Linked DNA regions of Kluyveromyces lactis. The protein of the gene in region 2 purifies or fractionates together with the protein of the main gene of each other region. This does not show direct contact. Links are inferred from orthologs where the notes say so. Each region holds a gene or a part of one and is shown on either strand. Other genes may lie near its edges.

Evidence for each region.
Region 1: the proteins of SNF5 (region 2) and RSC6 purify together in Saccharomyces cerevisiae (affinity purification with mass spectrometry; 5 studies listed by BioGRID, with this or other methods). This does not show direct contact. The link is inferred for Kluyveromyces lactis from reciprocal best matches to the Saccharomyces cerevisiae genes SNF5 and SNF12.
Region 3: the proteins of SNF5 (region 2) and ARP9 purify together in Saccharomyces cerevisiae (affinity purification with mass spectrometry; 5 studies listed by BioGRID, with this or other methods). This does not show direct contact. The link is inferred for Kluyveromyces lactis from reciprocal best matches to the Saccharomyces cerevisiae genes SNF5 and ARP9.

Annotation. Positions count from the first base shown.
Region 1 is NC_006039.1:787,475-797,950, reverse strand, and holds RSC6 (Rsc6p), read left to right. Parts: upstream 1-5,421; coding exon 5,422-6,807; downstream 6,808-10,476. Other genes in the region: ARE2 (sterol acyltransferase), read left to right, coding at 1-529; ATP23 (putative metalloprotease), read right to left, coding at 664-1,407; KLLA0_C09108g (uncharacterized protein), read left to right, coding at 1,892-2,518; KLLA0_C09086g (uncharacterized protein), read left to right, coding at 2,856-4,082; mitochondrial 54S ribosomal protein bL9m MRPL50, read right to left, coding at 4,468-4,872; threonine synthase THR4, read left to right, coding at 7,135-8,667; CTR86 (Ctr86p), read right to left, coding at 8,737-10,350.
Region 2 is NC_006041.1:1,663,462-1,674,822, forward strand, and holds SNF5 (Snf5p), read right to left. Parts: upstream 5,264-11,361; coding exon 2,861-5,263; downstream 1-2,860. Other genes in the region: CTP1 (Ctp1p), read left to right, coding at 1-892; BSD2 (Bsd2p), read right to left, coding at 1,510-2,460; APM3 (Apm3p), read left to right, coding at 5,642-7,135; CTI6 (Cti6p), read left to right, coding at 7,462-8,802; VPS45 (Vps45p), read right to left, coding at 8,880-10,613; TCO89 (Tco89p), read left to right, coding at 10,971-11,361. UniProt on the Saccharomyces cerevisiae protein: Involved in transcriptional activation. Component of the SWI/SNF complex, an ATP-dependent chromatin-remodeling complex, which is required for the positive and negative regulation of gene expression of a large number of genes.
Region 3 is NC_006039.1:1,058,537-1,068,919, forward strand, and holds ARP9 (Arp9p), read right to left. Parts: upstream 6,035-10,383; coding exon 6,005-6,034; intron 5,892-6,004; coding exon 4,557-5,891; downstream 1-4,556. Other genes in the region: KLLA0_C12463g (uncharacterized protein), read right to left, coding at 205-825; serine/threonine protein kinase PKH1, read left to right, coding at 1,631-4,408; centromeric DNA-binding histone H3-like protein CSE4, read left to right, coding at 6,308-6,862; formin-binding protein HOF1, read right to left, coding at 7,057-8,880; LPX2 (Lpx2p), read left to right, coding at 10,229-10,383.

The DNA.
Region 1 (10,476 bases), on a different chromosome or scaffold from region 2:
TTTGGCAGATGCCAACCTCACATTATGGGAAAAGAACCTGGTATGGCCGAAGCTCTTGTTGGACTTGGCACCAGGTTTTATTATGATGTTTTTGTTGGTCTGGTATTTGATTTGGGATGCAATTTTAAACTGTGTGGCCGAATTGTCCTGTTTTGCAGACCACCATTTCTACTCTGATTGGTGGAACTGTTGCTCCTGGTATGATTTTAGCAGATTGTGGAATCGTCCGGTGCATAGCTTTTTATTGAGACATGTATATCACAGTTCGATTAGTGCGTATCACATGAGTAAAGTTCAAGCCACCTTATTCACATTTTTATTAAGTTCTGTGTTTCACGAGCTAGCCATGTTTGTTCTTTTCAACAAGTTCCGTGGTTATATCATTATCCTGCAAATGTCACAAATTCCATTTACAGCTTTATCAAACATTCCATTGCTCAGAGATAAGAAACTATTTAATAATGTTACCTTCTGGATTGGGATTTGTTTAGGACCAAGTATGACTGGTTTGCTGTACTTGATCTTTTAATTTTGGAGCAGAATAACCAAAATGATGAAATATTCATATGAATGGTCGTCGAATAAATATGTACAAGGTTAAGGTAAATCTAGATACCTTTTATATAAAAGAAAAGTCAAAAAGTTTACAATACAAGGATAATTTTATCTATATATTTCATCAAATGGTCTTGTGTCATTGAAGCATGAGTCCCAGACTTCATCTACAACTCTTTCCGCATGTTCTTTATCTCTACAATTTGGATTTCCTGAAACGCTGATCGCAGCACGTCTTTTCACACAAGCTTGATGACCTCTATCAACCTTAAACCCAGTATTGAACCCACGTCTTGCAAATTCTTGGAAGAACCGACACTCACCACTCAAACTTGAAGCTCGAATCTCAGAACAGGCGTGATGCCTCAAATTTAGCCAATCCACTTCCCATTTCAAATTATCGAAATAATGCACCAATTCATGCGCCAGAGTGTCTTCCAAATGCCATTTATCTTTAATTCTATTCTGACAGATTAGAATACCTAAATCTGGATGAAAACCACCAGATTTCCAGTCCGGACATACATCACATATAATCTTCGATTCGTCAAACTTGAAAACATCTGCATTAGTATTTTTGTTGTTAAGTTTGGCTATCTGTTGCGTCATAAAAATGACAGTTGGTGAATAGTTTAACAACCAATCTCTATACTCATAACATTTGGAACACTGTTTACGCTGTAGCACAAACTTGTAATCATTCTCGTACTGTGTCTCCTCTTCCGGTGTCAATCCCAGGCCCGTTTTGTATTGGAACGTTCTTCTCCACCAGTTGAAGCCGCTAACAGCGGATTCTGATTTCGGCGGATTAGGTTTTATCAAATCTTCCTTTGGAGGCGGTGGTACGGACATTTTTCACTGGCTATCGCTTCAGTACACAGGTTTGCAAGCCTTCCTTTTCTTAATCTAGTGCTGTTGGTTAGGTAGATATTCAAATTTTCTTATGATTTCAAGTGATACTCGAATGAAGAAGATGACCTACGGAGATCTGTTTCTGTGCAGAGACAAAAGTGAGATTCAGCATAAAATAGTGTGTTCATCCTGAAATGAATATAAACATTTTTTCCTTAGATCATATAAACACTTAGGAATGCTATCAATGGTTCATTTCAGAAATGTGTATACAACATTGCAATCTTCTTTTCACACACGTGATTTGGTGGTTTTTCCTTTCTATACCTTCACTATTAATAATTTTTCGATTAAACTGATTTGAGCTGGCGATGAGCTATACAGCATCTCTCGAAGTTGTTTGAAGATATTAGTTGCCTTTCTGTCTAGATTCATTCTCAGTAGTGCCCAGACTGACACAATAGCTATATCAGACTTCAGAAGCATGAATATTTGGATCGCAGCTAGTAACGGGGAGACCGAACTAGTGGAAAAATTTATTAAACAAGGCCAAACCGCAAACGACAAGGATGAAAACGGATACACCCCAATCCACGCGGCTGCAGCATATGGTCATATCGACCTGCTAAAGAAGCTTGTACAAGAGCATAATGGTGATGTAAATATCAAGGACTCTGACAATGACACACCACTTCACCATTGTGAAGATGCGACTACAGCCAGGTCTCTAATAGAACAATTAGGAGCTGATCGTGAGCTTTTGAATAACGAGGGAAAGACATGCTTCCAGGTGTGGCAAGAAACATGCGACGACAACTTGGACCTTTTGAGATATGCGGAAGAAGTCCTCGGAGAAACCATATTCAATACTTCTCTTGGTATTGATAAAGAACAGTTAAATCAATTTAAAGACAACATACGTTACACGTTAGAGAACGATCCAGTAGACGAGACAGATCCCGAATCTTTGGAACGTAGAAAGAAACTAGAGAGCATAATTCAGGGTGAAAACGCAGAAGAAGAGCTTGAAAAGTACATTAGAGATTTGATTCATAATCAATTCTTTTCGAATAACAATGACAGTTCGGAAAACAATAAACGAGTCAAATAAAAATTGGAAGCGTAAAAACTTTATTCCACTAGAAATACCTAATCAAAGGTCGTCCAGTGTTATAATTCATGTATTTCAATTTCGCTAGTGTATGTAATCTATTAAATCATCAATCGCATAGTGTCAATGATTTTATGTTACCCTACTGAAATTTTACGGTCACGATAAAAAATATTTGCGGAACTTAGTAGAGACATCGTCCATCTTGAAGAGAAAAAGATCTTGTATATAGATTCTACTATAGAATTATCTCTTAGGCAATTGAACCTAACCTAAAGCCAGTGTTGTCTTTTTCCTTTGATTGACCAATACAGATATCTAAAAATTATCAAGAAAGATGTCAGCAATTTTGGCGCCATTGGCCAAAGCTATTGACTATGTTAATGCATTGAACAAAGACTTTTATATCCTTTCTGTTGAAGAACAAAAGGAATTAGGACTTTGGGGCAGAGTGACTGCTTATAATTGGACCTTTGAATTGGCTTGCATTGGTCTCATGGCTATCTTATTTTTCATTTCTTATTATGGTAAGACTCTGAACAATAAATATGCCGATAAGATATTTGGTACTTTGAACACATTCTTGTTAACAAAGTTATCTTTTACAAAGGTTGGTTTTAGTGCCGATGGCAAGAAGATGCCATATATTGAGGAGCAAAATAACACCTGGTTCACATCTTTTGCCACTGGTCGTTCTACTATTGAAAGCGTAATTGTTAAGGCACACTTGACGGCTCGTCACAACCCATTGGCATTGTTAACTCAAAAGGCATTAGCTTTGTTTTTACCAACATTAGTTGCCAACGACATTGAAGAATTCATCTCAGTTACCATTACTCCAAATGGCCAATTCGTCTCTACTGAAGATGCTAAGCTAACTGCCAACTCAGCGGAAACTTTGTCCAAATTGAAATTCATCACATCTATCGTTAACAAAGCAGTGATGACTAAAGCTCGTGACTCAAACTACTTTTTATCATTGACCCATACCGCTGAAAATGAATCTTTACCAGCAGACTATGTTTTCATGTCCGAATCAAATAAGTTGAACGGATTTATTCCTCACTATGCCGGTGAAGATTTCAAGGTGTTGCTATCTAAATCTGCCAAGTTCTTGAAGTTTATTTCTTTCACTGATTTACCAGAAGAGAAACCGATTACTGACAAATTATGGGAGTCTTCTCAATTGCCACGTTGTGTCATCTACTTATCCTTGGTAACTTCTGACAAAGATATCGAATTGTTGGAGGAATTGATAACCAAAGTTGTCGAAATTTATGACAATGTTACTAAGGATATTCAAACTAACTCATCCAATTCTTTCATCACCACTGATATTTTGAAGAAGGGTATTCAATTGCGTAAAGAAGAGTTAGGCAAGATTGTTAAAGTCATGCAACAGGTTGAAAGAGAAATGGCTCTTGAAAAAAAACAAGAAGCTGAGAGACAAAAGAGAAAGGATATGAGAGACAAGTTGACCGACCAAGAACTTGATAAAATGGAGTTGAAGAAAAGAGAAAAGAGAGAAAGACGTCTGAGAAACAAACAGAAAATGAGAATTTAGAAAGTTCATCACTATTGGGGTTGTTTCTCATTCTCGTCTCTTTATTTCCAAAGCAACAGTTAAAGCTGATCAAGAGAAATATGCTCGTCCAGGTGATGAGCGTTCCTGTAGTAATAACTCTCTTGTCAATCCCCATTTAGTATGAATCATCCAGATCTACTGTCCACGTTATTACTTCAACTGGTAGCGATTGGATGCAACGAACTTTCTTTATTGTTTTCGCAAGTTATTTTAATGTAATTTATGTACAAGTGTATGAATGTGCCTCTGAACCGCAATGGGGACGAGACGTCACGAACAACATCCATGATCATTATTATTTTGTAAGACATTGGTATCTCAAATGATCCGCGTAAGGAGGAAAAAAAAGATAAAACATTTACTATCATAAGTCTAATCCTGGAATCTTCACATTCTCGATAGTTATTTCTTCGTTTAATGCTGACTTAGGAGTTTCTGGTGTCTTATTTTCTTCCTTGGATACCTGCTTAGCCTTCTTTACGTTCTGTTCAGTCTTCTTCACCGTTGATTCGGTTGTTTTTAATAAAGCTGCTGCTGATGCACGTGATCTCTTAGCTGAGGTCAACAGGGCTTGGTCAATATCAGTTTCCTTTAGAATGTAGCGGGCTCCATTATAGTTGTGCAAGAAGTTTCTCATTAGTGAGGGCTTGACATTTACCACCTCGCCGGTATGAAATTGGAACTGAGGAAAATCTTTTAATAACTGTACCTGTACTCTCTTTGTACGTTTGGTTAAGGCAGAAAGACACGATGATGTCGGTCTGAACATTTTGCTGTAATATTTTAAAAGCCCTTGGAGCGTGTGCAGTTATTGGAATAGCACTTCAAACACAATTGACGCTATTTTTAATTCCCTGCTTATGGTTAACTTTTAGATTGATCTTGTTCTAATGTGATTTTAAACTATCAAAAATTTTTGAAGCTTTAAAATCATATCTAAGTGCCAGCCTAGTTAAAAGATGTGTACATAAAAAGAAGATAAAAGATTGGTTTAGCGAGTGACAGCCGTTCATACTGTACTACTCCGTGTTTGTAACCTTTGAAATACTTATTTATAAATGAACTGCGTAATGGATACAATCTAACCTAATACGATTCGCTATAAAGTATTGTATGGGTGTATGGGTGTATGGGTGCTTTCGTTGTTTCAACATCAGTTTTTCGAATTATTCAATCAACCTAAACAAAGCATTCACTAGCTTTTGGTACATTAACTTACATGCATCAACTTGTATAGATGAGACATATCATCTGCTTACCTCCTAGTAGAATAAACTAAGCTACCGCTAGATTGAGATTAAAGAAAAATCAAAATCAAATGTCTGCGGCACAGAGTGGAGCAACGGTTGAACATCAACAGGCACAAACTGTGCCAGTTGCACAACCAACTGACATGTATATCCAACCGTATTTGAAGAAATTAATACCAGAATTGGATGGGCTAAGTAAGTTACAAGAGGCTGAGAAGAGAATTGACATATATTTAAGTCGTAAAAAAATTGATTTGCATCAGAATATTACTCAATGGACTCATTCCAAATACACAGATCCTGCGAATAATCAGTTTGTTCGTGTTTTCATTTCTAATATTTCTGAGAACCAGCCATGGCAGACGAACGATGAGACCATGGAACTTGATCAAGCATCATGGACATTGCGTATTGAAGGTAGACTGTTAGATAATGGGAAGGCAGACGATCCAAATAGGCCTAAATTTTCCTCCTTTATAGAAAGCGTCGCGATAGATTTCAAACCTGTAGAGGAAGATCAAGATGATGAAACTGATCAAGAAATGGGAGACCCCTTATTAGAAGGGACACAGGAACCTAGTGCTAAAAAGCCAAAAAATGAGCAAACCGTTTTTGAATGGCATGTGGATCCTAATACTCCTGTAGAGTTTGACGGTGTTGATGTTTCACGTAAGGGTACTGAAAACGTTAACTGTACCATCACTATCCAACCAAAAGGGTATACAGGGGAGTTCTTACAGTATTCACCAGAACTATCATGTATTGTCGGATTCTCAAAAGGAACCTTTCATGAGGCGATATACTCTCTTTACAAATATATTCTATTAAACAGTCTATTGACGAATAACGACGAGGCGGGACCAAAGGATTCCACAAACGGTGAGAAAGTCTTAGTGAAAATGGATGCTTCATTAGCAAAGCTAGTGTCTCCAGAAAGGCTTGCCGCAGGCATTGTTTCTTTGAAGCTCGCCGATTTGCCAAGTCTAGTGAAAGATCATGTAAAACCGATACCTCCAATAAGACTTGACTATACTATTCGTGTAGATCAGTCTTCCACTTTCGGAGATTTGGTATTTGACATGGAAGTACCTAAATCAACGTCAGTTAAAGGCGACCAAAAGTTGTCAAAGGATGAATTATTGCTATTGAATGAATACAATACGCTATCAACTGCAATCGAACCACAAATACAAGAACTAAATCAGAAAACACAACTATTACAACTACAACTAAATTCAAGCGCAAAGAAATACCAATTTTTTGATAAACTAGCTAAGGATCCAGTTCCAATGCTACAAGATTACATGGAATCGTCATCGCAGGCTCTCAAAGTGTTATCAGGGGATGCTGGCTTCAATGAAGATACAGTGAGAAGATCACAATTCTACCAGGACAACGATTCAATTCTTTTTGAAAACATTGGAGTTCTACTTTCAAGCGGAAGAATGAAATAATTTCATTCAGTATTTTATCGCTTTCATCATAAATATATGTATACCGTATACAACGTATACCTTGGTAGTTCTTCGCAGAGCGGGCCCATACTTCGTGTATTCAACAACCGTATAGAAAACATTTGTACTATGAAATCGTCTAAAATGATTAAAATCGTTCAGAAAATATTGAAAATTGTATTGAGTCATCTGTAAACCTCTGCTTTCATCAACTTACCACGAAGCAAACTGTTGAAGTTTATAGTTGAGAATAACACTTGTTAGTTGTTGATTAGATCAGGCAGAGGCTCCAATAAGGTAAGATATCCAATCTAAGACCAAATCAAAATGTCACAAAGCTATAGATCTACGAGGTCATCCGATCCTGCTACCAAAACTTTTGAGGAAGCTATTATTCAAGGTTTAGCTTCGGATGGTGGTTTGTTTATCCCATCCATTATTCCTCAAGTCTCTAAATCAGAGTTGTTTGATAAATGGTCTAAGTTGTCCTTCCAGGATTTAGCTTTTGAAATCATGAAACTTTATGTTTCTTCAGATGAAATTCCAGAAGCCGACTTAAAGGATTTGATTACTAGATCTTACTCTACTTTCCGTTCTCATGATGTTACCCCGTTAGCCAAGAATGTCACTGGCTCTAATGAAAATCTTCATGTCCTAGAGCTTTTCCATGGACCAACTTACGCATTTAAAGATGTTGCTTTACAATTTGTGGGTAACCTGTTTGAATATTTCTTGCAAAGACATAACGATGGATTACCAGCCGACCAAAGAAAGAAAATTACAGTGGTCGGTGCAACTTCTGGTGACACTGGTTCTGCTGCCATTTATGGTCTAAGAGGTAAGAAGGATGTTGCTGTTTTCATTCTTTACCCAACAGGTAGAATCTCCCCAATTCAAGAAGAACAAATGACCACCGTTCCTGACAAAAACGTGCAAACCTTATCCGTTAAAGGCACTTTCGATAACTGTCAAGACATTGTCAAGGCTATCTTTGGTGACAAGGAATTCAACTCTAAACACAATGTTGGAGCTGTGAACTCGATTAATTGGGCTAGAATTTTGGCTCAAATCACATATTACTTCTATTCCTATTTCAAAGCTACTACCGGTAAAGAAGAAAAAGTGAAGTTTGTTGTTCCATCAGGAAATTTCGGTGATATTCTAGCTGGTTACTATGCTAAGAAGATGGGTTTACCTGTTGAGAAGCTAGTTATTGCCACTAATGAAAATGACATTTTGGACAGATTTTTGAAGAATGGTGTGTATGAAAGATCGGACGATGTCGCTGCTACACTATCTCCAGCCATGGATATCTTAATTTCTTCTAACTTTGAAAGACTACTTTGGTACTTGGCTCGTGAATATGTGGCCTCTGGAGACGATTTGAAAGCAGGTGAAACTGTTAACAACTGGTTCCAAGAATTGAAATCCAAGGGTAAGTTCGATGTTCCCGCTTCCTTGATTGATGGCGCCAAGAAAGATTTCGATTCCGAACGAGTCAGCAATGAAGAAACTACAGCTACCATAAAGCAAGTTTACGAGCAATCGGTCAATCCAAAGCATTACATCATAGATCCACATACCGCCGTCGGTATTTGCGCCACCAAAACGCAAATCACAAAGGATAATGATAACACTATCAATTATATCTCTTTATCCACTGCACACCCAGCTAAGTTTGCCGATGCTGTTAACGAGGCTCTTTCCAGCTTTGATGGTTACAGTTTTGAAAAGGATGTTTTACCAGAAGAACTCAAGAAGCTATCTACATTGGGGAAAAAGCTAAAATTGGTGGAAAAGGCGGATATTGAACTGGTCAAACAAACCATCGAAGAAGAGTTAGTGAAGATGGAAGTTTAAATATTTTTTGCATGAATCACATTTATAAATTGACCTCCGTATATAATTGATTAAAAATCATCCATGTTTCTACTTCTGAACGTCTTCAAACAGTTGTTCTTCCGACGCAGCATTCCTTTTGTCTGCGGTAAGTTTGATGTTTCCCTTACCATCTATATCCACTTTGTATCCTGCTTTTTTCAAAACATCTCCATCGACAGCTTTCTTAGCCTCAAGTTGTGAGATAAACTCTTGATTCGTGCTGTTATTCGCAAGAAGATATCTGATACAGATGATACATCTTTCTTTGATAAAGGGATTATTGTCATCAATAATACAGTTTGAAAGAACAAGTTCTAGACCATGCAGTTCCCTGACAGAGTCTTGTACGTCTTTCTGTTCATACGACATAAACCCCAACAATTCAACCAAAAAGCACTTGATACCGGGGAAGTTAGAGTCGTTAATCCTATTGTTATGGATTCTTTTCTTGAGAATCACAGCATCAGTTATAACGTTTCCAACATGATCGGTAGCCCTTACGGGGTGAGCAGAAGAATCTACATTTTTGGCCCCAGAAGATTTGTTAAAATGAATTTTCAAACAATTGCGCTCCAAGATATCAAAGAGTTTTATTATTTTATGCACCCCATCATAAGAAATCATGTATTTCTGTGCATGTTGGTATTTTGCAAGTGTAGTTAGAATATCAAGAACCGAGGACAATATCGCAAAAAGTGGGCCGGCATCAGTTGCTTCTGGAGTGGACTCTGATTTAAAGAAAGCATCCACTAGATATGTATATTCTTCGAAAATATCAAAAGTCCAGCTTAGAATTGCAGTCAACTGATAAAGGTCCCATCTTTCTGAACTGGTCACCAACATTGTGACAATCTTGAACATTTTGTTGAAAGAAGCAAAACCATATTCTTTTCGTAAGGTTTTCATATAAGACCCGAAGCATTCATGTGTTACTAACTGTTTTAATATTTTTAGTTGAATAGTAGCTAAGGAAGAAAGATTTTTATCCTCATCTTCCTCTTCAACGAGCAAGTCAATCTCAGTTTTCTGTGCAATTATTCCCCGCAGTAGTAGTTTGTCGATAACTTCCAAAGATCTAATATCATTGAGTAAAGATGAGATGAATGCATCACTTTTCATTATATTTGAGAGCCACAGAGAGTACGCATTAACAATGCCATCATCATCAATAAACCGCAGCATTTCTACCATGAAATTCATATGATCATCAAAACAGCTCTCATCAAAGACAACATTAGTTCGGGTGCAATTGAAGTAAAATTGACATACTAGACCATATAATTGCTTCAAATCACCAGGCGTACACACAGTTTGTCTGGAAATGGATAAATACCATGCCAGGAATGTGTTAGGTAGTAGAATATTTTGAGGTATAACCTGATTTGCAACTGAAAGATTCCTCGCTATTATTACAATTCCTTTAACAATTCTCATATACTGGCTACTGCAAGCTTGTTTCAAATCAACAGATTTTCCAAGTATAGCTGATTCTCGAAGTTGGAAGAAGATATCTTTCGAGCTGGCGATTTCATTTCTTCTATCTTCTATTGTGGTTTCTTTGATTAGGTCATTAAGTGAATCAATTATAGTAATGTACTCTCCTGAGTCACTTGGTGCATCGTGGATTAAACTGTGAAGCTTGGACCACCTAATTTCAGACATGTATGTTTAAAGCGCTTTTATGAACAGTAGAGCGCAATGTCACGCTTTGTACCGCAATTTCTCTATTTTGAATATTCTTCATCTCATCTGATCTCATCTCATCTCAAAACTGTTCCTGAATTATAA
Region 2 (11,361 bases):
GTCAAGTAATAAGCCGGCTGTAGATCCATTCCATTCCTTCCTAGCAGGATCAATCGCAGGTGCTATAGAAGCCTCCATCACTTATCCTTTCGAGTTTGCCAAAACGAGGTTACAGTTGGTGGATAAGGCTAGTAAAGCTTCCAGAAATCCATTGGTTCTAATATACAATACGGGTAAGAACTACGGTATTTCATCCATTTACGTCGGTTGTCCAGCTTTCATCGTTGGTAACACAGCAAAGGCCGGTATTAGATTTCTTGGGTTCGACACAATCAAGAACTTGCTTCGAGACAAGAAGACCGGTGAGTTGAGTGGATTTAGAGGTGTTGTTGCCGGGTTAGGTGCAGGTTTGTTGGAATCGGTCGTGGCTGTGACTCCATTCGAAGCCATCAAGACTGCATTGATCGATGATAAGCAAGCTGCTGTGCCAAAATATCAAAATAACGGGAAAGGTATGGTGAGCAATTATGCTAAGCTTTTATCCGATCAAGGATTTTCTGGTCTTTATAGAGGTGTCTTACCAGTTTCCATGAGACAAGCTGCAAATCAAGCCGTTAGATTGGGTTGTTATAACAAGATCAAGACTTTGGTGCAAGATTACACAAACGTACCTAAGGATAAACCTTTGAGTTCAGGTTTGACCTTCATTGTAGGTGCCTTCAGTGGTATCGTTACCGTTTATACGACAATGCCTATCGATACCGTTAAGACAAGAATGCAATCTTTGAATGCAGGCCAATATTCTTCTACTATTAACTGTTTCGCTACCATTTTCAAGGAGGAAGGTTTGAAGACTTTCTGGAAAGGTGCTACTCCAAGATTGGGTAGATTGATCCTTTCTGGTGGTATTGTCTTCACCATCTATGAGAAGGTATTGACGGTTTTGGCATAATTAGCCTTTCAGCTTTCTTAGTGTGTAACAAACGTGTAGTTTACTTATAAAACAAAAAATACTAAACGATAATCTTAATCCGCATCATAAAGATGATCGGCCATTTGATGAGAATCTTTTCCATCTATATTGTTATGATATACAAAAAAATATAATACACATGTTTGCATATATCCACATGAGAGACATCAAACATGCCGAATAGCATCAGGTAAAAGGAACCATTGTATCATGAAATAGATTAAAAGAGTAATTTGGTCATAGGGTGCACTGAATTAAGAGAAGACAAAAATTTCCTTTTTGTTAGTTTCTGAAGAGGAACAATCATAGAGACAGCCTGTTTGTTTTATTATAGTGTATTTTTTTTTAATTTTGGATCCACAACAACTTAATGGATAGGATTACAGTTTGATTTATTCTGATGGGATGAACCATTTATTTATGAGTGTAGTAGTGTTAAACTCGAGAGTTTTGACCCTGCAAAGGGTGTCTTTAAGCTGCAAAATAGAATAGTGAATAAAAATGTGAATAGGGCAAAAAACGAATTGAATATATGAGAAAAGGTTGAAAGCAGTTAGTCTGCTAATGCTAATATCATGGAAGTCAAAAAGAGGATTTTAAACTTCTGCTGTTGCTGTTGCATCTTGCAAGAAGCGTGCCTCCATGCGTTTGACCTTAATGTAATCCCAGATACTCTTGATTATTATGAACCCACCTAACAGTATAACGAATATGGCCAATGCCGGTGTGTGCCGCGTCTTTTCCATTACTCCATGAGAAAGGTCCGATTCGAATTCATCCTGAGTAGAAGTACTTGTATATAGACGAATCTCTTCAAACGAATCTGGATTATCAAATGTAAACCTGTTCAATTCATTATCCTTTCCTATCTTTCCTGAAACATCGTTCGGTATCATGGAATATCCGTATCCAATGAAAGTTACCCCAAGTCCAAACCTGGACCCTTGCCTAGCTGCATGTGATGTATGTAAGATATAGGTCAACAAGAACCCGACAAATTGGAAACTGAAGCTGACCACAACGTTCCATAAGAAATTGAATATATTCCCAACTGGAAGGCCGTCGATGCAAATTTCGTTGTAATACAATCCAACGCCATCGTCGTCTATACCGTAATATGGTGGAGCCATATCAGCCGCAGCCTCGTCATACGTAGGAGGCTTATCCTGTTCCCCATTCCCATTGATACCGTTCCTTTCAGGTTTCGCCATAAGATTACTGAATACACCATCAGAACTCGCCCCGACTTGTAACCTCATCGCTTGCTCGCTTGAACTGCCGCCTCTAAACAGTCTATCTAATATATTGAACTTTCGGGCAACAAAGTTCAAATGTTGTTGGAACTGCCCATTCATCTGGTGCAGTCTAGAAGACGACGAAGTTGTCCCTGTTTCCACATCATCAGCTCTTGAAGATTCGGTTTCTGGCTGTGTTTGCAGCTGCGACTGCGATTGTGAAGGAGACAAAGTCACTGAGGAAGATCCACCGACTTCATCTTGGCTCCTGCCAACGCCACTTCCGGCTACGAATTCCGAATGCTCAGACATACTCGCCGCGTAGATAATCTCAGTAAACTCTACTACCCTCGAGTAACACTCAAATATGGCTGCTTTGATGAGTTTGTGGCCTCTGCATACCAAGTTTCTTAAAAGGGTTGGTTCGTTCAAATGTTAACGTTTCCATTACTAAATATATTTTTTGGTTTTGAGCTGTTTATGAAATTTAGAGGCTTACACCATAAAGAATGAAACAGGCACACATAAATATCGATATACGTAGAGGTGCGTGTCAAGACCCTCGAGTAAGCCCGCGATCATCGGCGTTCGGTCTCTCATAGCTATCTTCAGTGCTCTTTCTTCTAGCTTATTTATCATAGTATTTCTTAAAATTGTTACAGGTGGTACCACATAAATACATATGTACATATATATATATATAGCGAATTACTCATTGAATGGTTGTCTTCGCCTTTGGTAGCTTTATAGTGACGAGTAAAGATTTCCCAACGTCGTGCATAATAACTCTGCATGCTGATGAGTTTCTTACTTCCTGTTGGAATTCTTGTTTTGGAGTTGCTTTAGCTCTGTCTAAATATTCGACTCTAGTTGATGGCTGGAACGATAACGTACTTGGACCAACATCAATACCTCCAGGCAAAGTTGTTGTTGGAAGTAGTTGACGGCACGTTTTTGGGATATCCCCAAGATCAGGAAGTTCTGCATCATGGGGTAGTTGCGGTGTACTTCCGGACGATGGGTGATTTTCTGTATTGCCTCTTCTATTGAAACGAACTTGTCTACGTTTCCTTCTAGTGTCTCTGTCCTTATCCTTAACCAAACGTTCTAGTTCTGCGGGAGATATCTGTAATAAGTTAGGTGTGTATAAAAACGTATCCTTTTGTGGTCTCATTACGTCTGCTAAGGTGAGTACAGGCAAGAATCTTGTTCTGATATCGTCTTCTTCAACGGGGCTACCGTCAAATTTGTAACCAACCATATATAATGACTTGTGATACATGTGAACTTGTTCTCTAATGCAATGTGCAATTGCTGTTAAGAATTCACCCGGAAGGGATAGTTCTTCGCATAAACACTCCGCGAACGATTCTGGACAATTATCTGGATTTGACACATCCCATTCAACGGTATCTATCAATTGATGTTGTCCAACGACAATATCTAGGTTGATTTTTATTCTGAAATCATCGCCCCCGAACCTCTGCACATTTTCAAAAGGATTTGGAGTATATTCTTGAAGTTGTTCTTTGATACTATTCACAATCTGTTGATACATCTCCGTGGTGACTTTGAGCCTATAATCCTTCAGCGTTGTTTTCACAAATTCGTTGATTGACAGTAGCGTGTCTGATCTGTTCCATACGAATGTGTCCCTCAAAGTAAATTTATCCTTTTCTGCATCAAACTCTAATCTAACAGGTACTAGTTCCTCCCCTGTTTGATTCATTGTCCATTCATATATTTCGTCCAAGTGCATTTCATAAGTGTCATCGACTTGAATCCTTGTGAGATCGTTACTGAAGCCATTTCCATATCCAGAATAACCGTCACCCCATATACTCTTAGATTTATGTCCTTGAGTTGTGTTGGTAATGGATTGCATTCGACTGTTCCTCAATTCTTTGTAATAATCAAGATCTTGCTGTAATCTCAATATTACCTCCCTCTGACTGAATCCGAATTTGGAAATAGGTTCCAATCCATTAGTGTCCGCCAACAAGTTGTCCTTATCCAACAAATCCCGTTCAATAACATGTTCATATAATCTTGTATCAAAACTCACAGGCTCGTTATCAGCTCTTTCTTTCTCTGACCATAACCTAGTATGAGGTAATGGAGTCTCAGGTGGGTCTTGAAGAATAGTTTGGAATTTGGGAATATCAGGAAGTTGTTTCTGAAACTTCTGAAGCACTTGCTGTAGTATTGCAGCTTGTGATGGTTGAGGTGGCTGTGGTACTGAAACTGGGACTTGTTGTTGTTGTTGTCGTTGTGGTGGTTGTCGTTGTGGTGGTTGTGGTGGTTGTGATTGTGGCTGTTGTGACGAAGGAACCATCGATTGATTACTGTTCATAACTGGTATATTCTGAGTTATAGGTTGACCTCCAATCATTTGTTGTGGATTCCCCATTTGTTGCTGAAGTGGTATACGAGGTTTCTGAGGTTGAGGCTGTTGAAGCTGCGGTTGGTTAGGAGGAATAATGTTGCGTGGCGGGGATTGATGTTGTTGCTGCTGAACAGGTTGTTGTGGTGGTACAGGCTGTTGTTGCTGTTGCTGTTGCTGTCTATGTTGTTGCTGTAATTTGACTTCAAGCTGAGTGATCATCAGAAGAGCGTTCTGGTTATTTCTCGCAATAGCCTGTTGTTTGATGGACTGAAGCCATTGCATTTGCAATGCCGGTGATAGTTGTGCAATTTGTGGAGGAAGATTCAAAGAAGTTCGTTGTTGAGATTGGGGAGGAGACTGCTGCTGTTGCTGTTGAACCTGCTGTTGTTGCAATTGCTGGGCTTGTTGCACCTGCTGAGCTCGTTGCTCCTGTTGCTGCTGCGTCTGAGATCTCTGCATTTGTTGTTGTTTGAGCTTCATTAGCTGCGCACGCTGAGCAGCATCCAATTGGTTCATATTACCGGGAGAAGAAACCTGTTCTTGCTGCATCTGCTGTGCTTGTCTTTGTCTCTGCAATAACAACTGTTGATGTTTCTGCTGAATCATCTGCAACTGCGCTGGCGTCAAGGATTGTAGGATATGTTGTGGAACCTGCGAAAGCGAAAAGGAAGGCGTCCCTATGTTACTCAAAGGGTTCGCATTGCCAGGATTCATTGGTGGGTTTGACATTCTCCTTTCAGCTTATATAGAGAAACAAAACTGCAACTAGTGTTTTCAATTGCAGACAGAAAGGGAAACACAGAAGGAAACTAGTATATTCTTTCTTGCGATAATTCTCAACCAAATGCTGTCAAATATACCCTTTCTGAAGCCTACCTGAAAGGTGTTCAGTTCCCTTAAAAACAAGAATTTCTTGTTGATCTTTAAAGTTTGTTGTTGGTCTTGTTCTTTCGTTCTTTGAATTCATGAAATTCACGAAATTTTGATTAACGATTAAGAGAAGTACGAGATGGAACAACCTAATGAAAAATTAAGGCAAGCAAACAGGATACAGCGGGTTATCCGCATATAGTTGGTTATCATAGTGAACTTAAGCAATTGGCTACAATGATTGTTAGCATATATGTCAATGATAGGTGCCAGGAAACGCTATTCCAGTACTCAACAGTAGCAGAGTGCCCTACTTTTCGGCAACTAGTTGTTAAACTACAAGGTAAAGACGAATCATGGGAGTCTAAATACTGCAATGAGATAAATTCTGAGTTGAAGCTTTGCAGACACGTTTCTTTGCTGAATCCAGTTGTTTATTGGTGTTTAATTTCGTGTTCAGAGTCCACAGTTTCCGTGGTATCTTTGTTAGAAGAGATAGATTTACTGTTGTTACAATATTTCGATAAGGACCAATTAACGAAGCAGAAGATAAATAATAACCTCGATCGATTATCGATGCTTTTCCATTGTATCCTTGATGCTGGGCAACCGGTGATAACAGACTCGAACCGTTTAAAGGCAATGGTCCCAAGTAGAAACGATTTATCGAAATTGTTGAAGACGACAACCAATACAATTACCAAGACCTTACAACAACCGGACGGGTCAATGTTTAAGAATGGTCCGGAAAAATCAAGGTTTAGTGGCAGTAGATATCCATCTTCATCCGCTTCATCCGTTTCCTCGTTCCACGTTGGGTCTCCTGGCTCCTCGTTAGTTGATCATTCCGTTGATGAATCTGGTGTCCCATGGAGAATGAGCGGCATCAACTATGCTAATAACGAAATATTCATCGATATGAGTGAGGAAATTAACGCTATTGTGGAAAAGGGGAAACTGTTAACCGGACATATCAAGGGTTGTATCGACTTAAACAACCATCTCAGCGGACAGCCATTGGTTGAGATGAAACTTGGGCTCTTAGACCACAAGCTTAGCCACTTAAACACGACTTTCCATAGATGCATCTTAGAGGATAAGGCGAACAGCATAAATGATTTAATCGCTGGGAAATTCACTAAGCTAACGTTTGTACCTCCTGATGGACGTACTAGGCTCTGTCAATATACCCTACCGTTGGTGAAAAGAGACTCAAACCTCGGCATTATAGACGTAAATTTACAAAGCAGTTTAGGTAAAAGACTTGACGAATTTGAGGTCCGCGTCACCGTTGGAATGAGCACGACGGTGAAAGAAATAGAAAACATGAGCATGACTATCAGGATGAATAGAAATTTTAAGGGAATAGTACGTGTCATGAGAAACACTCACGGCGGTGTCGAAACAAATATGACTCGTGGCGAAGTTAATTGGCATTTGGACAAAAACATGGTATGCGGTTCAATGGCTGTACTACGTTGTATAGCGGAACTGGAACCCGAACTCGCCTCCAATGACCAAACATCTAGTAGATCTTCGGTTGTTCAACCACCTAGTTCACACTTAACATCCTTACTACAACCTAGTTTCATCAAATGTTACTACGAACACAAATCCCAGCTTCCCTCCGGAATCAAACTTCAATCAATCGACGTAGTTAATGGAGGTCCAAAAAAACCGTTCAAAGGTGTTAAGTACCTCACAAAGACTGGTTCGCTAGAGTATAGGTGATGATACGTTAAATGGTTTATATATATGTATGTATGTATTTATGTATGTGTTTGGATCACGTGATATTTTTGTTTTATGTACTTTTCGAACGAGGAAAAAGTGTTCCAACTGATTAAAGACTTAAAAGGAATAAGTAGAGCCACCTTGGATAACAGATGTTTTAAAGTTTCTATGTATGCAATGCGGAGGGCAAGAGTGAATTCCAGAAGTTTCAGGGCTGTTCTATAGTGCCATTTTTACTGATCTCGACATAGAGCGGTTAATTTGGGCGATTTGCAGCTGATATTTGACGAATAATCGAGAAGAGGGGATCTTGAATCATAGCAATGAAGCGAGAAACGAGGGACCGTGGAAGGACGGACCTTGCACCAGAGAAGTATGTAGAGGACTCTGATCCAGAGCCTGAGGATGAAGGTGAGACTCGGTGTATTTGTGGGAAAATTGAACCGCCAGATGATTCGGGTCTTTATATTCAATGTGAACAATGCCATGTTTGGCAACATGGATATTGTGTGGGCATATCTGAGGAGGAAACTCCGGATAAGTATTGGTGCGAGCAGTGTAAACCAGAGCTACACTCGCTCTACACAACGGATCTTGGTGAGAAGAGGTCAATATACAAGCCAATTCAGCAACGCCGTAGGAAAAATAGAAGGTCGAAAAGAAACTCCGAATCGGATGGAGAAGTATCAAACGCTGGAAGTTCACTAGAGAACCAATCTCCTTCTAGCTCAGTGGTTAGTGGAAATATTGGATCTCAAAGATTATCTCGGCAAAGGAGAAATAGTAGTAATGTTGAATTATCGAAGGATGAAGGTGAAGATTCTATTGCGGACTCCGGAAATGGTGAAGATAAGGATGAAAATATTCCCAAGCGCGAGTTTGATCCAATTGATGAAAATCAAAAGGTTGCAGATCGTAAACGTGCTACATCCAGTGCCAGGGAAGAGAAACATTATCAACTTATGCTAGAGAAAGCCCTACGCGAAAGCAGACGCTCTTCAAAAGATGGCACCGATCCCGAAGACCAAGATATTTTGAAGGAAGAAGAGGCATCAGGGAAGTCCGCCTCACCAAAGAATTACACTAGAGATACGGAATCTCCAGAAGTGGAAGGATCTGAAGCTGATGAAGCAGCTAGTCAATCAAGAAAACGAGCTAGAACGACAACAAAATCTACATCGCCATCAGGTTCCGAAGATGACTCCAAATCAAAAAGATCAAGAAGAGGTAAGAGCAATGGTTCAACCACGCAAAGTAACTCAAGGATTTACAAGACCTCAAGTGGAAGAGTTGCAAGGAATTCTAAAGCTAGCAGCTCAAAAGGATCGGGTTCCTCTGGAAGTTCAAACTTGTCGAAATCTAATGGACAATCTAATGATATCGGAATCAACAAGCCTCTAAAACCCAGGATTCCCTCTCAGAGGACCACTATGCATGAAATGAGAAGAAGAGTTAACGCTATTCTGGAATTTATCTCAAGGACACAGTTAGAAATATCTAATGACCAACGTCAACGGGATCAGTTGTGCCAGTTTGTGGAAAACGAAGAATTCCTGGAAAATATTAATAAAATATTCTCCAGTTACGACGAATCCTTCAAAACGATGGATGAGCTAACGAGGAAATTACTGCTTTGGGAGCAAAAGTTTAGTCCAGCTTCTTAAAAGCATGATAGAGAGTGTTCTTTTCTTGTTTCATACATTTCCTTACCTAATTCTACATCTGAAGTACATACGTAAGTTCATAATAAGTCAACTGGTTTATCATTAACGGCGCAAACATCTGTTAAAAATTGCTCTGTAGAAATAATCGAGGTTCCTCCAATGATAACTCTGCAATTGTCCTTATTTTTACTCTGTTTCTCATTGAATTGATGTACTGCGCGCGCTTCTTCTATAGTGAGGCCTCCGACGATCAATATAACAACATCTTGTGGCATATATGTCTTAGGGTCAATATTTTGGTTTAAAAGAGTCACTCCCTCTTGTGGGAACTTGTTTTTATCCAAATCGCTGAGAAGTGTTGTCAATTCAGGAACATGTTGCATAAACACATTTTCAGCGCTGGTGCTGCCTAATCTGTTGAATTTCTTGGTTAATCCACTAATCAAATCATTGTCCTGAGGAGCTTTGTGTTTATTGAATATTGACCCAAATCTCTGTTTAAATTGAAAGTAAAGAGAAATTTGTGTGGGATCACACTGTTGTCTTAGAATATTCTCCAACTCAGAAACTCTAGATTCGTTCTTGCCGTGTCGTAGAACAAAAATGCAGCATAATTTTAATTTGTAATATGATTCTAAGGTTGGTAAGTTTAGAATTCTCTTCAGTTCTACAAAGTCATCGTTATTGTCATCATGTGAAGAGAGGTTTTGCTCTAGCTCACTGACTTCCCATATATTCTTCAGTTGTAATTGCCTATCTAATTCACTAACAATGGCCATATGTTTTGAAATGTTGCCTGAGAGTTTCTTAAATTCGGGGAACTTTTCGATGAACTCTTTAATATCTTCTATCGTATTGATTTGTTTGGTAATGTTGGTCTTATTTTTATACTGAGTAACATAGTTCTTCACCTTATCTGCCAAATCACCAAAATTCATATACATTGTTTCTTTGAAGAACTTATCTTGTTTTGAAGAGAGTACAACCTGCTTCAAATCGGGATCGATATTTGGTACATTCGAAAGGTCTACCAAGTTTCTTTTTATTCCGATATATTCATTTATCATCGATTGATAGGTCCACGGTTGAAGTAATGGTGTCAATGGATCCGATTTCCTGTCAAGTAAAATTAGTAACGGATTCGAATCTCTGACGGGAAAATCAAATAACTGCCTTTCATTTGTCTTAATTTCATACTCTAAATCCTTAGCTAACTTTTGACACAATTTGCTATCCGAGTCATACGCAATTGTCGGATTTAGTTTTAACGATAGTAGCAATGAGATTAACCCGTTAGACGTCTCCTGCAATCCCTTTGGATCCCATACCAATTGATTTTGGAGAAGATTGTACAACGGGATCTCTAAAGTGAAGACATCCTCGTTCACAATTAGGTAGTCTTGGAAAACTTCTTCTACATGTGTGACAACCTCCATATCATCTCTTTCGGCTAACCGTTCCAACTGGGACTTACTCACCTGGTTATTGAAGAAAATCTGGTATTCGCCATACTTGGGATCCTGTAATTCGTGTAATAGGTCTTGAATCGTATCCTCAGTGGGTTTCAAATAGCATAAACATTTCAAATGTGGCATTGGATCTCTGTGAATATTCTCAAGTTTATCGACCAAGTAAATCTCGTGCTTTAATAGCTCGGTTTGAGTAGTACACATCGATATCGTAGAGAGTGTGTCATTATCCAAAATCAATGCCTTTACTCTCGACTTCTCCTGTATCGAGGTGTCCGACGGTTTGGACTGGAAATTTGCGATTCTGCTGATATAATAATCACCAACCGTAAACAAATTCATTACGAAAAAGTGCTCTATCCTCTCAATTTCAAAAGAACTTGGATATCTTAATTGCTGATTCACCGTTGGCACGCGCTACAGCAGCCTTAATCTACCGTTTCTCACTGCTACTTTGTTCCATGCAAAAGTTTAAGGTCATTTCTCCTTTAATACTTATTTTCAAAAAGAGTTGAAACTAAGATTCTGGCACACATCAATCCATCTTTGTTTAACTACAAACAAACACAGGAACAACAATCTTGCTATAGCCTGTGATTCCAAACTTTACATTTAGGTGGGAAATAGCAATTTTTCCACAATTCTGTACAGTCAAGGTAATAATTCTTAAGTTGAGGCTACTGGCTATTCTTTACAACAATGGCCACAATTTCCCGTGTGAAGCCTGTGAAGACTAATTCAGATACCAGTCTATCACAGTATATGAAGCAGAAGAAAGGACATGGAAAACCTAAACAGTTCTCTGCAAAATCTAGGAGCAAGAGCAACACCAGTTTCAAGAACTTACAGAAATTACACAAGGTAGGAAGCCACGATGCATTGAATAGAGGACTTTTCGATCCTATGAAGAAATCGAAGAGTTCGGACTCATTGAACAGACGCACGGTACACAGTGGTCTCAGTATGACGGCATTGGTAAGAACATCATCTCATCCAGTTGTGCTACACCAGAATAGTCACAGCATGAAGCATAAGGGCCTAATTAGTGATAGGAACTCCAAGTCCGTCATCCTAGATCTTCACGATTCTG
Region 3 (10,383 bases), on a different chromosome or scaffold from region 2:
TTTTTCAACAGTTTTCATTTTATTAACCGTTAAGTTTCTTAAAAAATGCATATAAATACGTACTACCGAGAGGGCATTATACGAAAATCCTAACAGTAGTAACCACTAATCCTACTCTTGATAATCACCTTCACGACTATGATCCTTTTTTTTTTTCACACTCAAAGTTTTCTTGTACCTGAGTCTATTGATGTGTCTATGAATTTATATTAGTTCAAGTAATCTCAACACATTTGTTGAGCCCTTGCACTTTCGATTGTACAGCAAAGATTGATTCTTATGATCATCTCCATTTTTACAACCGGTTGGTTGAAGTACTTTCGTAGTAGTTAGTTTCATGGAACGATTCTGCCTTGTAGATACTTCACTGCTTTTATAACTATTTGCAAAAGTCTCGTTTTTATGTCCCTTTATCTTGTGCCAAAATCTTTTGAATTTGGTCCTCCGATGATTAAAATTGTCATTCAGAGAATCGTCACTATTGTGATAATATTTCTTAAAATCTCTGTATTTGTAAGTAGATGACTGCTTGTAGTCATCCAAGAGATTACCTCTACAAGGAGGGACCTTCCACGCCATTGATGAGATATCCGGAGTCAATGGTGAAATTGGTGAATTTATAGGACTGGATTTATACCTGTTCACCTTTAACAAGGAATCGAGTACAAAACTATCCGTGCACCATTCCTTTAAGTTATCAGGTGAAAGGTCTTTGAACCCCTGTGATTTGCTCCATTTCTTCAATTTGCTCTTGAATTTGATCCCATGGACGTATGCCTCTAAATCTGGCAACATGAAGACATTGTAAGAGGTTGCGTGTGCCATTTTTTTATGAGTATTTGGAGACTGTATATGATGATATTCAATTGGAACTGGCAAGAATAACAAAAGATTTCTGTCTTGTAATTATTTATAATAGTATATTTCTTATGTTATGCTCGATGGATCCCAGAGATAATGTCATTTATAAATGCTTGACATGCAAGTATATTCAATGACACATATGACGAACAATAACATCATCGTTAATTACTTTGTGTTCGGAAAGTAACTTGCTCGACGATCCTAGCGCTAGGTGTCGACATTCTCTGCATCTAGACGACAAGAAGCGAAAACAAACATCCACTTGTGCTTCACATGACAGTTGAAGCTCCACACATGACGAGAGTTTACGGATATACGTCCGTATTGAGACGCAAATATATATCACGTGACCACTAGATGTTACTTTAATAAATATGAACATTTGGAATTTACTTAACATTAACATTCAAAGCAAGAGAAAATACGTGGAGAAGAAGAGAGGAAAGAAAGAACGACAATCAAGTCTAGAAGCAATTGTGATAGATATACCCATTAGTGAATAAGGTATTGAGTTGCTAGGAATATTAAAATCCCCTGATTTTTGAATCGTCCTTTTTTTTGTCTGGCTTGTCTTCTTTTAGCAATTGAAGTTCTTCATATTTTAAGGTTTGATGGTTGAAGCATCTCCTTTTTTTGCATTGTAAACATACCCTTAAGCGAATATCAACTAACAGCGTTTTGGTATCAAATATTTCTTTGTTCAATATCGAAATTTGTTGCTTTGCATTTGTACTGATAAAAATACCATTCTAAGAGTTTCATCAATATGTCTTCTGAAGATTCTTTTAACAAACCCATTATACCTACGTCAGGATCTGCCAGATCTGTTATGCATAGACCAACGCCACCTCCAATTCCGATGGAACTATCACATCCTCCTCTACCCACTATCAGAACGACAGATGATTTATCTAACCTCTCAGAAATGAAGCCATTTGGGAAGCCGAATCCTCCTGTTTTAACTAAAGCATTAACAGACGTTGACAATTTTATCTCTTTGGATCCGAAGTATTTGAACAGAAGAAACGACTCTCTGTCTTCAGTCGAAACAATTGATTCCACGCGAGATGATAACATTTCAATACCTAAGGAATTACCCATTAGCGAATCAATGCAGCGTAGGCAGAAGGAATGGGCAGATCGTGGTGCTGCAATGATAGTGAAGGATGTTCCGGATAAGCAAACAGGGAAAATCACAAAGCAAGTCATCAAAAAGGGGATTAATGATTTCAAATTTGGAGAAACGTTAGGTGATGGATCTTATTCAACAGTGCTGCTTGCAACTTCAATTGAAAGTAATAAAAAATATGCGGTCAAAATTTTGAATAAAGAATACCTCATCAAACAGAAAAAGGTAAAATACGTTAATATTGAAAAGAATACCTTGCAGAGGTTGAAGAATACCAAAGGAATCATCTCTTTATATTTTACCTTCCAGGATGAATCCTCTCTATACTTTTTGTTGGAATATGCACCAAATGGCGATTTATTATCTCTTATGAGAAAGCATGGTTCAGTCAATGAAAAATGTACACAGTACTATGCAGCACAAATAATCGATGCATTAGGTTTCATGCATGACAAGGGAGTTATACATAGAGACTTGAAACCAGAAAATATCTTGTTAGACGTTGATATGAAAGTCAAGTTAACTGATTTTGGTACTGCAAGGCTTCTAGATAGTACTTCGGAGGATGACCTTAAGTACGATCTGTTGACAAGATCTAACTCCTTTGTTGGCACAGCAGAATATGTATCACCAGAATTGTTGAATGATAACTACGTTGATTTTAGGTGTGACATTTGGGCATTTGGTTGCATTCTTTTCCAAATGATAGCCGGGAAACCGCCATTTAAGGCGAACAATGAATATTTGACATTCCAGAAGGTAATGAAAGTTCAATTTGCTTTTACCGCTGGCTTCCCAATGACTGTGAGAGATTTGGTGAAAAATATTCTAATTAAAAACCCAGAAAGAAGATTGCTGATCAATCAAATTAAAGCTCACCAGTTTTTCGCCGATGTAAACTTCGGTAACGGCTCAGTTTGGGATAAAGACCCCCCAGAACTTGGTCCATACAAGGTTTCCGCCCGTGCTTTGCAATCCTCGGTACCGAAGGTGGCCTCGTCTCCGGCTATTAATCCAATTCATGAACCTGTTCGACAAAGCTCAGTATCACCGAAGATAACCCCTAAAAACACGACAACAGCACAAAGGCCAAATGGTGACACGACATCCACCACAACAAAACGTGAGTTAGACCCTAGAACACAGCGGATTTTGAATAATGTTAAAAAAGAAATTTCTCAGCGGAACCACAGACGGGCTGCCCTTAAACCATCACAACAATACTCCGGCTCTCCAAGCCAAGGTGATATCACTCCTAATCCTGCAACAGCAGCAGCAGCAGCTCTTCAGCAAATTAAGCAACCATTAAATGAAACGACAGCAAAATCTTCAACTTCTTCTGCGGGTTCTGGAAGAAGTCAAAGGAAACCTAGTGGCTCCAACCGCAGTGCAAGTACAAATTCATCATCATCCAAGTCTGCTCCTCCTTCATCGTCTTCTAATATCAGAAAAATATCGTCCGATTTATCTCCAATGAGTAAATTAGATATAATGTGGTCGTACTACTTAAAAAATATACAAGAACGTGTGATAAAGATGGGGGAGATCAATGTTACCACGCTCAAAAACCAAAGTCTTGAAGCGAAGATTAGCAAGTCAAAGCTCTCCCTCTTAGATGCAGACGGAAGGGTGCAGAAAAAAAATACTCTACTGACTCAAGTTGTTAGAGGAGGCGGAAATGTAACTGGCTTTCGTCAAGAGAACTCAAACTTGGTTGAGCATGACTTTTATAGTGAGTATCTGATTGATCCTGAAAATGTTGAAGCGAGCTATCGTAAGCAATCTGGCGCAGATGAGGCTTCGCATGAGGGTATGTCAAAATTGAAACATTTCTTTTCAAAGGCACCTGATGCACCTGCAGAATTTATCGCACAATCAGAATATATTAAAAGAATGTGTGTAATAACGACATTCGGAAGGTGCCTTTTATTTGCTAGAAAAAACAAAATTAATCAAAATTCAAACCTTTTCTATGATCTAGAATATGAGATAGATTTGTCACAGTTAGGTGTTCGCATAAAGGAGGTTGTACCAGAGAAGAAGACAAGTTCGAAAGATATCTTCGTTGTACAGACGCCATTCAAAACATTTGTATTTCAAACGGACGAATCAGATACCCTGGTATGGTTGCATTCCCTAACTTCAGCGATTAAAAGCAAAAATGAAAGATTCACTAATAATGAAACATCAATCAATCCCATTGCTAACAAAGCGGCATTACTAGCTGAGCAGGAAGCCGAAACACAACTTAATGGGTATAAAACTACAAAAACTCCTTTCCTCACTAAAAGAAGGTCCAGTTTTACCTCACAGAGACAAAAACAAAACAATAACGGGAAGCTGGGTACAAGACCAATATCAAGTGGATCTAGAATGCTTTCCCGGAGCGAGCAAATCTTTAGAACAAACAAATGATCAAAATTCTAGTAAGAGTCATAGCTCAATGCTCTAGAGAAGTTTGATGGGCACTTTCTAAATGTACGGTACTCTGAACTGCATTTGCTGATTGAAATTACAATGGATATCTGTATACGTTTATATATTGAAAAAGTACTAGAATTATTTAGAAAGAAACCTCCCAGATGGCCTCTGGGCCTAGTTCGTCATACTTCTCCCTTGTGACATAGAATGAATTGTTAGAATGCCCAAACACTTGCTTTGTTAAGATCTGGGCGCCTAAGAAGGTAATATCAGCGAAACCAATCTTCTTCCATTCCGAGAAATATTCAGGGAACTTTGGTGTCATGATGGTAGTTGGTGGCTGCACATATTCAATCTGATTTAAGATTGGAGCAGTGGAAACCTTCCCAATTTTCTTCTGTTTAGAATCTAATTTAGCCGCAGCATCCACCTCTCTTTTATACAGTTCCTCTTCTGGTTCACTAACTATATGGTCTTTTAGCAGCTGTGATAGAAGAGCTTCCCTGAACCCTTTTATATGTGATGTCCCTCCAACAATAATGACATTTTCCCACATTGCTTTAAGCTTGGTTATGTCATCAATCTGGCTCATTGCTTGTCCTACAGCTTTCGAGACATCCTTCAACAGATCTTCATAGCCTGTGAATCTCTGCCTGCTTACAGTAATACGATTACCATCAGTATCAAAGAAGTCATTTGTCTCTAATTTGCTGTTGTCCAGTTTTTCTTTGTTTTTGTTTCGTTCGCGCTCTTCTAGAATTTCTCGAGTATCACGCCCACTAGTAACAATTGTAGCCACATCTAAAGTACCTTCTTCGTCATCTTCGTTGTCGATAGCGTATTGATCCATGATATCTTGGGACAAAATTTCGTATATATCCGACCTTTTTAAATCCTCAATTTGGGACTCGGTGAGATTTGGTAAAGCTCTCTGTAGATTCTTATTTATCGAGTTTCCACCGGAAGTAATCTGTCTTATGAAGCAGGTTAAGGGTGTATAGTCCATAATTGGTACAACATCGGTGTGAAACTTGCCAATATCGATGATCAAACAATTTTGCAAAGAGCCATAGGCAAATGAATTAGCTAACGAGCTAGGTAATATAACAAAATGCTTCAATTTCATTGCTTCAAAAGCTGTTCTGCAAAGTAGTTCTTGTTGGAATTGAGTCCAAGAGTAATGCGAAATTAACAAAAATGGAATATTAGAAAGAGCTGTATCCCAAGCGATTGGACTATCGTCACTCTCCTGTTTTAACACAGATTTATAGATCAACTTTAGAAAATATTGGAACGCATCAATATCGACAATGCTTCCCTTCACAATGGGACAGATAACAACATCAGTAACAGAGGATGTAAAGTTACCATTTGCATCTCTGTAAACTTTTGTTGGAATAGAAATCGAAGGCGGCTGCAAAGTATCTTCTCCAATACCAAATTGAACCAAAGTCCTATTGGATCCTGGATATATTATCTGGACAAAAGTACCACATGTAGTAATGTGAGTGGATCGGTTAGTAAAGTTATCTTAGTAGTTTAAATAACTAATGTTTTCGGAATAATGAACAATCTGGATACCGCACATACGAAGTAACTGTCTTGTCTTAATGGTGCCATTTTTGCTAAATGGTTTCTAACAATACAACAAAGTGCTCGATTTATCGTAACAATACGAGTTACAGTTGCTAGGTCAATGACGAGACTTTTCCTATCCAAGTAGCTAATTCAAAGTATAAACTTGTTTATCTTCTATTACTTTTTGAATTTTTCAAATAATGAAAACAGTTATCTAGCTAACATTAGCCTACTCAATGATGAATATGACACGCGAAACATTGAAATTAGTTCTATGACACGCAAAAGACCATACGGAAAAGAGATTGATACATAATGGAACAGTCTATCAGGAGCATAGACGGTTCTAGATCTTTGAGCAATGTTGGCGCTTCACTTATAGATCGTGAATCGATCAATCAGAGAGCACTACAATTATTACAGAGAAACAGAAGAAGACGTTTGTTGTTAAATAGAAGTGAAGACAAAGCAAGATACATCCAGCCCGAGCGTTCTGCTAGCAGCCAGCAGATTCACCCTCCAGAGCATCATATCAGCGCACATGAAAGAATAACAAAGGCTCGGGGAACTAGATATAAACCTACTGACCTAGCTTTGGCAGAAATAAGGAAATATCAAAGATCCACAGATTTGCTTATATCCAGAATGCCCTTTGCGAGGCTAGTGAAAGAGGTAACAGATCAATTCACTACCGAGAGCGAACCTCTTCGATGGCAATCCATGGCAATTATGGCTCTTCAAGAAGCAAGTGAAGCCTACTTAGTCGGTTTATTAGAGCATACAAATCTATTGGCACTTCATGCTAAAAGAATTACAATTATGAGAAAGGACATGCAACTAGCTAGAAGGATACGAGGTCAATTTATTTGAAGCAATCCTTCCTATCATTTAAAGTACAGATTTATCTGCTCAGCTTCAATTTGCTAATAGTTTGATGTCTATTGGAAGAGCAGAAATTATATATAAGTATAGAACTTTATATTGGTTACATATGGTTACAAATTCATTATTTAACGGGTGAAAATGGTCAGAAAGGAAAGCGTCCAAGGTGAAAGTGATGTACATCAATTTATTACTTTCACGTAATTCATTGGTACCAGACCATGCTGTTTGTTACCTTGATATACCTCACCCACATACCAGTCATCATTTATGCATTCGACTAACAGCAGGATATCACCAGAATTGAAAAGTAGTATGTTATTTTCATTGGGTTCAGTGTACGAATACATCGCTTTGACATATTTTACGACTGGATTTTTCATGGAATCAACGATGGGTAGATTCAATTGTTCACCATCAATAGTCACACGTTTACAACGCATTATATTCAAAGAGTTGCTGAAAGGCAACACTGTTCTGCTCACAGTTAAGTTGCTAGAAGCACCAGAGCTCGTTCTTGATGTCATCGGACGATCATTCATTTCCAAGATTTCTAATGCTGTTTCGACATCCGATGCGATGGATTTTCTACGATTTGCAGTTGGTGGCTTCAGAGAGTTGTTATTGTCGTTGTCAGAAGTATCCGTATCCATTGTGGGCGAATACATTGATGAAGGTCTAGATTTTCTTCTATTGCGTGAATTCCAAGATTTAGCAAACCTTTGAGAGTCATCGACACTTGAGGCCATGGATGAGAGAGAAGTCGACATGGAATCATAACTTGCCTTATTTTTCCTATGAGTAAAGTCCGTTGGATTTGAAGAAGTCTCTTCTGAAGATTCTGATAATGTTGCTCCATGTCCTGGCTTTGTAACCACTTCTAAATAGTTTTCAACGGAATGCGGAGCAGAGTTATCATTTAGGACCTTCGATTCTATGGAATTAACAAGGGCAGCATCAGTTTTTGGAGTTGGCAACCCTTTATCGACACTTAATGCATTTATTGAATTGAGCCTGGTGTTCTTCAGCTGGGTTGATAGTCTTTTTATATTTTGAACATACCTATCATTCTTTGTTAAATCCAACGCCTTGTGAGAACTCTTCGGACGGATCACATTAGATGGGTTAGAGTTAGCACTTGAGTTGTGCGTTGAAACTGAGTTAGAGTTTTTCAACTTGATTCTTCCAGTACCATGGTGGTAAGAAAAGTGCGATATTTCAAGTTCAGGTGTGAAGCTGGAAAGTTTTTGTTTTAATTGTTCCATCAAAGAGAGTTCCAGTTCCGAAGGCTGGGTTGTAAAATCAGCGTATTGTTGTAGTAATTCCCTAGAGACCTGGATTCTTTGTGTTTCTAAACTTTGCAATTCTCCACTAATATGTCTCCATTCCTCAAACCAATGTGCTCTAGCAGCTTTACATTCATGATGTAAGACGGTTTTCCTACGGTGTGATTCTTCCACTATCGAAGACCATTTTTCCAATTCTCTCGCATTTTCTTTCCTTTGGTATTCGCCCAAGGCAGTTTCTTTGTTGAGCTGATACTCTCTCAGTTTATTCTCAGCACTGAGTAATTCTTGATCTATAGATTTCAAGGCTTTCTTCTTTTCATCTTTCAACTTCCTTAAGTTTTCCACGTTTCCCGTTATCGTTGACCATCTGGCTCTATATTGCTTTAAGAAATCACTCATCGTACCGACATTTTCCCTGTTGAGCCTCTCATATGCCTTAGAATGACCATTGGCTATTGTCTGCTGGGAGGATTGGAAATATTTTAAGGATTCAGACATATTATTGTAGTCCGCATATCGTTCGAGATTGTTCATTATTCTTGCACTGAGTGCTCCTAATCTTCTTGCATAATCCATCTCCAACTCACTTCTCTTAGTGAAACAATCGAGCAATAACTCACAGGTGCATATACCTCTTCCAACATGCTGAAGAAGAACGGTAACACCTTGATCGTCTTCGTCCCAGAAACTTTCTTGATAGTTGTATATTTGAGTCATTCAATCGATAGCTTTCCTTGCTAATACCTACTCTTTGTTATGCCCTCAACTTCCCTTCAATTGTAGATTGTTGAATGACAAAACAGATACCGTACATCTAACTTCAATCCTTGTGAATTGTTAACATACACCGAACAAAGTTTGGTGAGAGAGCCAGAACCATCCATCTCTACAACTGAATACAATCACTGTGATAGTGCTGTTCGATGATGTTTACATTATTCCTGATTGGGGAATAAGTTCAATCACGTGACTTATATTTTTGTTTGTTTATTGCAAAGCAAGTAATAATACCAAAAAGGGAAATTATGCTTAATTCTGTACCTCTATCATTTTTGTCTGTACCGGCCGTACAAGAACATGAAAAGAGAAAGCGAGGATAAATAGGAGAGCCTAAAATCCCCATAATCTCTGACGATTACCCTGGTATATGGACAGCACCGTCTAATGACTTGAGAGTCCAATTAAATTCCTGAATTAACCCATCGCAAAACTCTCTATGTCTCCTTTGTGATATGCTTTAGCTCCGCACGGGATTGCAATGAAATAATTAGCAAAAACGTCGTGAGTATTTTCTTCCTGCTAAGAACCATCAAAGAAGGTTCACAGAAAACAACGTACAAACTGTATATCAGGGTAACCAGCCGAGTTTTCCCCTGTTTTCATTACGACATTGTTCCCAAATTGAGACTATTTCTCTGCAACACAGTACATACAATGATACAATTCGTAATAGCAATCGTCCCCTTAAAAACGGCAAACAAAGATGACAACCAAGGCACCAGCTCAACAGCAAGGGTTCCAACTACACTGAGGGTATAAGTTTCTGCGGTACCTCAGCTTGGTTCCTTCCTTTTTTATTCTCAATTATTCTGGCCAGTTTTTTTTCGCCAGGAGTCCCTAAAAAGTCACTCTAGCCAATTTTTTTTTCTTTTAAGTTTATTTACTTTGCAATATCAAGAAATTATATATCCTTAATTATAGGGTTTCTAATCAACAATTCACTTTAGCATATATTCGCTTCGTTGCTTTATTATAAAACAAACGTGAATTCAAGTGTATTTCGTTCGTAATTACAAGTAAAGGTTTATCATAGTTACGTTTACTCCCACTAGAAAGAAGAGTTAATACTAAACTTCTCAAAAAACGGGCAAAGGATAAGCAAATTACTGATATCGAAATCAGAACGTGAACCAAGTCCTATTGTGTTTTACAAATTTGAGAGGAACATAAACCAAAAAACTACACTACTTGGTCGCTCAATTGTACGAGTCTAAGGAACACTTTCGCTTTTTACTTTGAATTATTAGTAGCTAAGAAAATACCCAGATATATTACCAGAAACAGAATGTCTTTAGTTTCTGCGGTAACTGGCGACGAATCCAGGGATACTAATGGTGCAGAACAAAGTTCTGTTTACCAGAGTGCCGGTAAACCATTATCCAAGGAGGCTCTATACAGAGCAAAATTGAAGTACGGTGTGTTCCAGTCTCCAGCTCAGTC